Kluyveromyces lactis: one gene and its partners. The protein of the gene in region 3 purifies or fractionates together with the protein of the main gene of each other region. This does not show direct contact. Links are inferred from orthologs where the notes say so. Each region holds a gene or a part of one and is shown on either strand. Other genes may lie near its edges. The genes, in order: SNU71, PRP39 and SNP1.

Evidence for each region.
Region 1: the proteins of SNP1 (region 3) and SNU71 purify together in Saccharomyces cerevisiae (affinity purification with mass spectrometry; 8 studies listed by BioGRID, with this or other methods). This does not show direct contact. The link is inferred for Kluyveromyces lactis from reciprocal best matches to the Saccharomyces cerevisiae genes SNP1 and SNU71.
Region 2: the proteins of SNP1 (region 3) and PRP39 purify together in Saccharomyces cerevisiae (affinity purification with mass spectrometry; 6 studies listed by BioGRID, with this or other methods). This does not show direct contact. The link is inferred for Kluyveromyces lactis from reciprocal best matches to the Saccharomyces cerevisiae genes SNP1 and PRP39.

Annotation. Positions count from the first base shown.
Region 1 is NC_006039.1:1,599,306-1,603,141, reverse strand, and holds SNU71 (Snu71p), read left to right. Parts: upstream 1-1,467; coding exon 1,468-3,174; downstream 3,175-3,836. Other genes in the region: MCY1 (putative cysteine synthase), read left to right, coding at 159-1,313. UniProt on the Saccharomyces cerevisiae protein: Component of the U1 snRNP particle, which recognizes and binds the 5'-splice site of pre-mRNA. Together with other non-snRNP factors, U1 snRNP forms the spliceosomal commitment complex, that targets pre-mRNA to the splicing pathway.
Region 2 is NC_006037.1:712,380-716,052, forward strand, and holds PRP39 (Prp39p), read right to left. Parts: upstream 2,488-3,673; coding exon 640-2,487; downstream 1-639. Other genes in the region: UV-damaged DNA-binding protein RAD7, read left to right, coding at 1-579; BFA1 (Bfa1p), read left to right, coding at 2,968-3,673. UniProt on the Saccharomyces cerevisiae protein: Function prior to stable branch point recognition by the U1 snRNP particle to facilitate or stabilize the U1 snRNP/5'-splice site interaction. Has a direct role in the assembly or function of a catalytically active spliceosome.
Region 3 is NC_006039.1:703,579-706,496, reverse strand, and holds SNP1 (U1 snRNP complex subunit SNP1), read left to right. Parts: upstream 1-1,392; coding exon 1,393-2,298; downstream 2,299-2,918. Other genes in the region: CCR4-NOT core ubiquitin-protein ligase subunit MOT2, read left to right, coding at 1-981; ARG56 (bifunctional acetylglutamate kinase/N-acetyl-gamma-glutamyl-phosphate reductase), read left to right, coding at 2,906-2,918. UniProt on the Saccharomyces cerevisiae protein: Involved in nuclear mRNA splicing.

The DNA of each region.
Region 1 (3,836 bases), about 900 kb from region 3:
CACGTGATGTCTTTAACTCGAAGATAATATACACACAAATTGTAACAGTTTTTAGTTAGTTGAAATCCTTTTTATAATAGAAGTTCTTAATCAACAATAGTATTTGTCGTCTAGCGAAAGTTGCGCATGCTGTTATCCTTTGATCTAGCTCCGTAACGATGACTGCTGCAGACAGATGGAAGGATTATGCCTGTGTAACATCCCTTTTCGTGGCTGTTGCATCGTTATACTATGCATATAAGGTTAAGACAACTACATTAACTGCTCTATCACCACCAAAGGATGGAGTGGAAGACTTGATAGGAAATACACCAATGGTAAGAATTAAATCTCTTTCCGATTATACTGGTTTGAACGTTTTTGCCAAAATGGAGTTAAATAATCCAGGTGGTAGCGCAAAGGACAGAGTTGCCTTGAATATTATCAAAACCATCTCATCGCAGGAAGGTATTAAGGGTTCAAGTGATAAGAAAAATAGAATCTTTGAAGGAACAAGCGGATCTACAGGTATATCCCTTGCAATATGTTGTAACGCGTTGGGTTACTCATGCCATATCTCGCTACCGGACGATACAAGCCAAGAGAAACTTTCTCTTTTAACTGCACTTGGTGCAATAGTGAACAAGGTAAAACCTGCTAGTATAGTGGATCCGAACCAATACGTAAATGCAGCTAAGTCGTGTTCAGAAGAGTACACTGAGGGTGTTGGTGTATTTGCAGATCAATTCGAGAACGAGGCCAATTGGAAATGCCATTACGAAACGACAGGACCTGAAATTTATCTACAATTAAATGGGGAAGTGGATGCATTCATCACGGGATGCGGTACTGGTGGTACCATGGCCGGTGTTTCTCGTTATCTAAAGGAGAAAAGAGGTGACAAAGTACATATTGTGTTGGCTGATCCGCAAGGCTCGGGTTTCTACAATAGAATCAAATACGGTGTCATGTACGATAACGTAGAGAAAGAAGGAACAAGAAGAAGACATCAAGTGGACACATTAGTGGAAGGAATTGGTCTTAACAGAATTACAAACAACTTTCTGAAAGCGGAAAATTATATAGATGATTCCATCAGAATTACAGACGAGGAAGCTATTAAGATGGCCAAATTCTTATGTGTAAATGACGGATTATTCGTTGGTGCCAGTACTGCAATCAATGCAGTCGCAGTGCTGAAATATGCGGAAAACTTACCGAAGGGTTCAAATGTTTGCATCATTGCATGTGACAGTGGCTCTAGACATTTAAGCAAGTTCTGGAAAGAGGCCCTGCAGGTGAGTAACGATCTTTCAATTTCAGATATCATATAAATAACGTACAGTGTGTTTAACTTTGGTCTTTTGTAAATATCAATTAATTGGAAAAATCTTGAAATATATATATCGAGAGAGTAGACGTAAAGTTTCAGCGATGAGTTAGCAAATAAACGCTGATACTACTAGGCCGAACGTGTTTAACTCACTAATGGATACTGTATTGTTTGTGTCGCCCACATTATACTGCTGTGGAGACACGAAGAACTGGCAATCACAGGTGCCGAAGCCAGGATATGTGCCGATTTTGAAGAGTGATATCCCCAAATTTGAACAGTCGTTGAAACAAGCCAACAGCCATAGAGACCATGATAAAGGGAATTCAGTAGCCTCGAAGACTAATGAAACGGACAATTCTGATGAATTCAAGACTTCAACTTCACGCTATGTTGATTTGAAGTCCTTTTTACCAATTTCGTTAGAACAACAGTTGCATACCGTTTGTTTAGCACATTTTCCACTGGGACTTGGATCCAAGGGTATTGATAAAGTTATGGACAGACTAGACAATCTAATACGGAAAAAGCTGCAAGTTGAAGATAATGAGACCAAATTTATCAAACAATGGAGTTACGTCGATTGTGTGAATACGTTGACGGTATATATAAGTTTCCAGGAAAGTATAGTGGAAGAATATGGGAAAGCGATACAGTTACTTGAGAAATTGTTTGACAACGGGTCAGATGGGATCGGACTTCACATGGATGAAAACACTAGACGGTTCGTTTGCGATCTGACGGAAGGTTCTCCTGCTAAGGAACTCGATGAAACTGCAAAAGATGAGTTCTCCGCATTAATTACAATGTTGAGATCTGAACCAGGCTCTATATCTCAGGAGAAAGGGTTGGCTGGAAATAGTGCCGTTGAGTATAACGTGGATATAAGTACGTTGAGTGACCTTCCGAGTTCCTCATTAGACCAATTGTGTAAGGATATTGTTGAGTTTAGAACTCGTGTCATTACGTTAGAGAAAGAGAAACGGAATAAAGAGCTAGCGGAGGAAGAAAAACGGAGGAAACAAAACTTGAAGCATATATTTGACCGTATCAAGGTTACTAATGGAGGCTCGGAAAAAGGTTCAGCCCCTGAAGCTGAAAGTGACTCTGAAGATTCAGACGACGAGGTTGAGGGTTACGATGATGAAGATGCGGACGATTACGAAGCGGAAAAAAAAAGAGTTCAAGCGGAAAGAGATGCGCAAGAAGCCCAGTATGAATCCATGGTTCATAGTTTCCAAGATTCGTTACTGGTCCAATACTCATCGCTACGACAAGAATACCAAAGGTTACAAAACTACGAAACGCATTTACAAAAGAACAAAGGTCCTATGTTAAAAGAGTTATTACATCTTGCCATGGATCCTTACCACGACCATCACAGGCCATACAAGGAATCTGAATCCAAGGCAGATGAAGAGGACCGTAAACGGGAATCTGAAGAAGTACCAAAGAAAAAAGCAACAGAAACAGAGCCAGAGACAGAACTAGAGCTAGAGCTAGAGCCAGAGACAGAGACAGAGACAAAATTGGTATCGGACGCAGATGCGACAACGGCTGCACCAAAGATTAAATTAGCACTAAAGAAATCCATTGGAAAGACAAAGAATGAGATAGAAGAGGAAGAGACTCCTGAAACCGATGCGTTCCAACAGAAGTTGAATCTACTAAGGGAAAGCGGCGTAGTGGAAGAACTCGTCAAAGAATACTTGGGAGTTTACGAGCCCGACTTAGTCTCATATATCTTTGAAAACATCGAAGAACATCAATCGAAACAGGCACTCGAGACTGAGCTTACAGAGACGTTCGACGAAGATAGCCCTGTCCTAGTGAGCCGTATATGGGAAGCGATGGAACAGTAGTGGAATATACCATACATGTGAATATACATATATATGTATATGTAGGTATGTGTGTCACATGTCTAATAATGAGATTCTATTACCCGGTTACGTCTCACGTGACTGTCACGAAATTTTTTCGCCCGATTCGAGTGTTCCAGCCAGATCGGGCGGTAACATGAGGTTACTAGAGGTCCGGGTAATCGTGTTTCATATTGATTCGCGTTTTGTATATCGTATATAGCGATACATTCTCAACTTCACCAATTTTTTACCAGATCCAGAACGGTTACAGGAAGAATTGGCAGGATGAGATAAACAAAGGAACAAACATAGAGATTCTATTACTTGTAACTTATGTACACACCTGATAATGGTGGAATTTAGTTTCTGTTTTCGTTCGGGTTGCTTTAGGCAAAAGATAATAAGTTTTTAGATTCGAGATTTATCGTCAGGGTCAAACTTTTCAACAAAGAACGTTACCAGTGGTAATATTTTGGTGTATACATCTTTCTTTTCTTTGTGTTCCTCCATTCATTCATTTATTGATTCATCTCAAATTACTTATAAGTTTTTTATACATTTGATAAGAAGGATCTATTAGAGGTTTTTAATAAAGAAAGATTATCAGAACTGACCTACTGATCCAAATTACCTTCCAATCCTCAGTCTTTAGGAAACTG
Region 2 (3,673 bases), on a different chromosome or scaffold from region 3:
GAGCCATCTAGAGAAACAGATATTAATGACGAGGTTATTATAAGTTTGTTAGGATCCATAGGCCAGAACCTTAGGAAGTTGTCGCTCAATAGATGCACTGGCTTGACTGATAGCTGTATAATTAATGGATTTTTACCATTTTTGTCTAACTCAGGGCAATCAATCCTTACAGACTTGGAATTAGAAGAATTGGATCAGATAACCACCGACGGCATAGTTCTATTATTCTCTTCGTTGCAGTTCCCTTTGTTGAAAAGATGTAGCTTGAAAAGATGTTTTGCTTTGGAGGATGCAGCCGTAGTTGAATTATTACTTAACTCCTCTTCCACCTTAGAAGAGTTGAATCTAAATGGTCTGAAATCCCTAACATCCAAAACTTTCACCTTCATGGCATGTCCTAACCTCAAGCAGCTAAATATAGGGTTTGTCCACTGTGTGGATAATGAAATTGTGGAAAAGATATCCAAGGACAATGAAAAGCTCACTATTATTGAAGTTTATGGTGATAATCAAGTCACAGGCAAATGCTCTCCTCGGAATGGTGTAAGCATTATCGGAAGGCAAAGTGACAGTATATAAATGATTAAAAAAATTCTAGGATCATGAAAATGCTTGAGTGTGAGAATGCCCTTTCAGCTACTACTTTAAATAATCTATAGACATGTAATCATCAAATTTAGGTTTCTGATGGATCTTTTCTAAATTTCTAAAAGTAGGCAAAGGTGCTGGATTGAGCTGCTTCGATGCAAGCGTCTCTATTATAGTATTTTTAATTTGAGGCTTATCAATGAACAATCCAGGATGACCGTTCGATCTATACTTTTCTGATTTATACCAGTCCTTGGTTAGCTTGGCGTTCGGCCTCCATGTTGGGTTGTTGATTTTGAACCTATTGTGAACTATTGGGTCAAACCCAAAACGGGATTGCGATAAATTGGTTTCGTACTCGGAATAATCTGCATTGATTAGATAAAACCCTTGGAAATCTCGTACGATATCATTGATAACTTTTGTTGGTAATACGATCTCAGTGCCTAATTGATCGACAAACTTTGTTAATCTGGCGATATTTTTTTGAGTCTTTTCAAACTTGTAGTAAGTCAACCAAAATAAGACTGAAGTCTTGATCGGATCCAATTTGGCGAAGTATGTAAAGTGTTTCCTGCATTGAATGACGTTCTTCAATACCAGCCAATGCACTTTTATTAGTTCAACTACCAGTATCGGAAGAGTAGTGTCATTTAGCATGGCAAGCAACTGCTGGGAAATGTCGTGATTTTCCGTATCTGCATTCCCTGATAGGTACGCCTTGATAGTTTTATCCAAAAATGTAGCATATTTACTCTGTTGTTCCAAGATCTTTTTGTCTTCATCATTCAAAGATGCTGCAAAATATCTTCTCTTGTGAAACCTTAAATATTTAATAGTTGAACTTGGATCATGTGGCCATTTAAGCTGGAACGTGTATAGAGCGTCCATATAGTGTTTGGAAGATAATTTATTATATGGATCCATATTACTTTCCAAATATTTGATGTATTTTTGCTTGAAAGATTTATTATCAGCAGGAAGAGCCCGGAGTGCTCTTTCAAACAAGGGGAACGTACATTCGGGACCAAAAGTCCTTTCAGTCCAGTCAATATAGGCTCCCCAGAAATATTCGTATCTTAAACATGGAATCAAACATCTCTCAAACGTCGATTTTATTAATTCTGTACTGAACTCAGTGTTGTTGATTAAGAAAGATAGATAAGCATCCCAATTCTGAATCTCATTCTCGGGAAGCTCAGGGATATTGAAAAATGGCTGTTTTATTTGTGATTCATATGTCCATATTTTGTTCACCTTCTCCTGGTTAGAAATAAATGTGGTATCCAAATGGATGCTTGATTCCCTATTAGCAAACTCTGGGTGATATTCCAAGAATTCCTTAAAGCTGGTGTAGTATCTTGCATATTGATGCAAAGGTTGCTGCATGACTTGTTTGTACACCTCAAATACGTTTTCCCAGTTCTGTAGTCTTGTTTCATATGCAATGTGCTTATCCCAAATATCGTGCGAGAGGAAATGAGATCCCACGAGGGATTCGCATTTCCTGAACTGGTTTCGTATCAGTTCACTATCATTCTGATTATGTGTTAGATAAACGTTCAACATATCAATCCAAAGATCTATCGACGTAGGGAACGAATGTAAAGATGCCTTTAAAGTAGAAATAGACCCTTCTAATCCATCTAGCTGATATTTCACCGCAACGTATCGTTTCCAGTAACCAAAAAATAACGGATACCTTCCCAATAACTCATCAAAAACTTTATATATATTGCTCTTCACATGTTCATTGGGATTATTGTATTTCTGTACCAATGCTTCTGTACCAACCACCAGTTTGTCGATAGTAGTTATATCGTTCCAGTCAACAGAATTATAACTCTGCACCCATTCATCGTTATTCTTCAGAAAAGTTTGGTCTAATCCTTCAAACATTTCATAAAATCCCTAGTTTCCTTCTTAAATTTGATATGCAAACCCCTGCTGCCGACTTCACACTCAAAACGGCTCACGGATAGCAGCTAAAGGCTCTTGTTCTGTTTGGTGGCATCATGCATCTTTAACAGAGATTTATCTTAAAGAATTACAATAATACGGTTCTTTGCAATTTTGAATCATTTTGGAAGCATGAAAGAAAAACAAACAGAGATAAACGCGCCTAAATGAGTGTTTAAAAGGTAATTATTAACTTAGTCGAATTCTGGGAATCTCAGTGTTTTATAGGAGTGCTCGAAATGCAGAATTGGCGTCTCAACAGCGGTTTAAACAGCAATTAATATAGTATCACGTCTCACGAATATGATTATTTTGTTTAAGGTTAATAGATACATCAATGACGGAAGCATTAAAGGTATGTTCGAGATGTAAACAAAGGAATAAACAAGGGAAAAGACCAGGGACAATCTTCGATTATCGATGTCTATACGTCCAGTTGTACTGGATGATGTCGGAGAAACATCATTTGAAGATGTTGAAAGCACATTTACTTATAAAGATGATATAGAGGTACCGAGATTGGCACCTAATTCAGCTACATCCACAACTACGGAAAATACCACATTCTCTAAGGATAAGAGGTATTCATCACACACGGAACTGGCGAGCGATCTTGATGATGATATGAACTATAACAGTGATTTTGAAGAGTACCAAAATGGTACAGACCTACCTCTTGCTGTGGATAGACGATTTAGGGAAAGTTCGGATCAGGACGAGCTAGCTGATTTGCAAGAACAACTGGAGAAGAAGCTATCATTGAACCTGAGAAATTCTAAGACCGGTGGTGGTAGTGGTACTAGAAATGTGGATCAATATATAAACCATGCGGGACTAGTGCGGCCATCGTTGAAGGATTCGGTACGACAGCGTAGATCGATGGTCGATTTGGCAACCCGTAGTAAAGGTAATATTACAAGCTTGAATTCACAGCAATCGCGTCGAGTACCGAACAGCAGGTCTTATATGAACCTTAGACCCAGTTCTGGTCGAACTCTCAGTTATAAGTCATCTATGCCATCGTTAATGAGGTTCAACCGTCAAGATGTGTTACTTGAGGACGAAGATGACGAAGATGACGATGAAGATGAAGATGATGAACCCTATCCATATGTGCCCAGAGTTA
Region 3 (2,918 bases):
TGTCCAAATCCGAACTGTATGTTTTTACATGAACCAGGGGAAGAAGCGGATGCTTTCAACAATGCCAGGAAGGAACATGCCCATCACTCACATGCACCACCTACACTTGCTAAACCGTCTACAAGTGCAAGCTCTACGCCAAAGCTTGCTCATGCTTCATTGAGAACAGATGACTCTACTGTGCCAGCAGCTGCAACTTCAAGCTCGAAGCAAACCGCTCCTGTGCTAACACCAGCTCCAGTTCCATCTGGTTCAAACCCATGGGGTATATCTCAAGCACCCACACCAGTTTCTACTATTTTCAACAAGACTTCTACTTCTACCACTTTCCCTACGTTGTCAAGCTCCTTGGGGGAAACTCTGAACAGTCCAGGTCCAGGCACTCCTACGACCACTGGATCTGCCCCAACAGCAAACTCTTCTTCTAACGTAAGTTCGAAGAAGAAGGGCGAAAAGACATACGAGGATCCTTACGATCCAATGGCAACATGTGTTAAGTTCCTAGATCAAACTTTTAAGTTTTTATCAGATATTCCTGAAAGAAGCTACACATTCAACTCCAACTTATTGGATGACGAAACATATCAAAGTTACCCATCACTTTTTTCATTTGAGAAGATTGGATGTAGTGAGCAATCTGAAGGTGTCTTGGGTGCCAAACTATGTGATTTGCTTACTATAAAACCTGTGGACCACATGTCCTCTCTTCTGCCATTCATTCAAAACAAGGCTACACCTACCATGTTACCACCGGGAATTGCTGTCCAGCAACCACAATTAGTACAACAGCAGAAGCAGCAGCTACAGCAACAGCAATTACAGCAACAGCAACAACAGCTTTCACTGCAAATGCAACTACAAGCCCAACAAGGCATGGCGCAGCAAGGCATGGCGCAGCAAGTTATGAGCCAGCCACAAAGCAATTCTTCCGATCTACTAAATCAATTAATTCACGGTAAGAAACAGACTGCTGCCGTATAATCAGTACTCAGTATGATTCCAATAATATTTCTTTTACGAAGTTAGCATATAAATAAATATATATATTCATGTACATTCATTTATTTTTCAATATAAACCGTTCCAGGTTGTTAGATAAACAACTGTTTCAATTTCATTTTTCCAAATCAGACCTTGTAATCTACTGTCTTTCTGGGTTCTTCTTTCTGTCAAAGGCATTCACATTAAAATACATATTTTGACACACTCTTTTTAAGGTTTTTCCATCAATTATGTGAAAATTGTAACATTTAACATCTAAATAGTAAAGATGCGCCAAAAATATGGAATATAATTACATACACTTTACCTCAGCGCATACACCTTAACCTCGATACTGCGGTAAGCGCATCAATAAAGATAATATTGGCACATATCCATTCCAATTAATAGATGAAACCACAAACGAGGAAATACAACAGGCATAATGGCTTTCACACTTTGACCAAACTTCCGTCTTCAGTATCAAAGTTATTTACACAAGGTCCACCATTACCACCATCGAGAGTGAGAGTAAGGCGAAACCAGAACAAGAAATATGCACTCACTGGTGTATCAGCCGTGTTGCAACATGTTTCAGAGTATAAGAAGGCAACCCATCCCGTATCAGAGAACCAACACTTGAAAGTATATGATGAAGCCATGAACGAATCGCACAAAGAACAGGAGGAGTTGATGAAGAAAATACAAGAGTGGCACCCTGAATCAGATGCAAACATTTCTAGTGACCCCTACCGCACATTATTTGTCGGACGGTTACACTATGCCGTAGACGAAGTTGAACTACAGAAGAGTTTCGTCAAATACGGCGACATTGAATCGTGCAGAATAGTAAGAGACCAAGACGGTAAGAGCCGAGGATACGGTTTTGTGCAGTTTACCAGTTATGAAGACTCCAAACAGTGTTTCAGAGAGCTTGGTGTAAGGAAGGGAATAGAAATCATGGGCCGAACATCCATCGTTGATATAGAAAGAGGCAGAACGGTGAAATTCTTCAAACCTCGACGTCTAGGTGGAGGATTAGGAGGACGAGGTTACCAAAGGAAAGATCTCGTAAATAAATTAACTGGTGCTTCAACAAGACCGATGCATGAACATGCTAGAAGACCCATCAGAAGACACGATACCTTCGAAAGAAGAGGTCCTCCACAAGGGCATTCCCATTCTTATCAACCAACTAGTCCAATATCCTCACCTGCATCAAATTTCCAAAAAACTGCAAGTTCTAGCTACCGATCAAGGAGGGACAGATCTCGCAATGATACTTCCAATGGTTCTACAGACACATTGATGTATTGAGATGAGATAAAAAGACACATCAAATAGCACGTGATCAGAACTGCTGCAGTGATCTATATACATTTTCATATATATTCATATAAGTAGCCATACAGATGAGCCATGGCTAAATGTTATATGTACTTCCTACCATTTCTACCTCTGTTCTCATATCTACGCAGTTCTCCTACATTGTGCCCACTGGCCAAGCATAACTGAACCACTACCTCTGTATGCATGAGTAATTTCTTGATCGATGACTGATTCCAAAATAACGATGGAAAAAATTATTCCAGTCAAACAAAAAAAAAAAAAAAAATGGCAACTCAGCGAATCGCACATATAAAGAAAACCGTTTTCAGTTTCCCATTCGCTAAGTATTTCCATTAGGTATCTAAAGTATGAGTTAACTCGTAAAGTACTGAACAGCATTATTGTCTAATCGAAGTTAAGACCAGCTCTATCCATCTGCAGGACAAATTAAAGGGTTTGCAGGAAAGTGTTGATACCTGCCTTTTCAGTGATAGTGAGCCAAGCCAACTGTTTTATCTTCTTTAAAGGATTTTGATTAGATAAAGAAGAAGAAGAAGAAGAAGAAGAAGAAGAAGAAGAAGAAGAAGAAGAAAACATGTCTGTCCCAT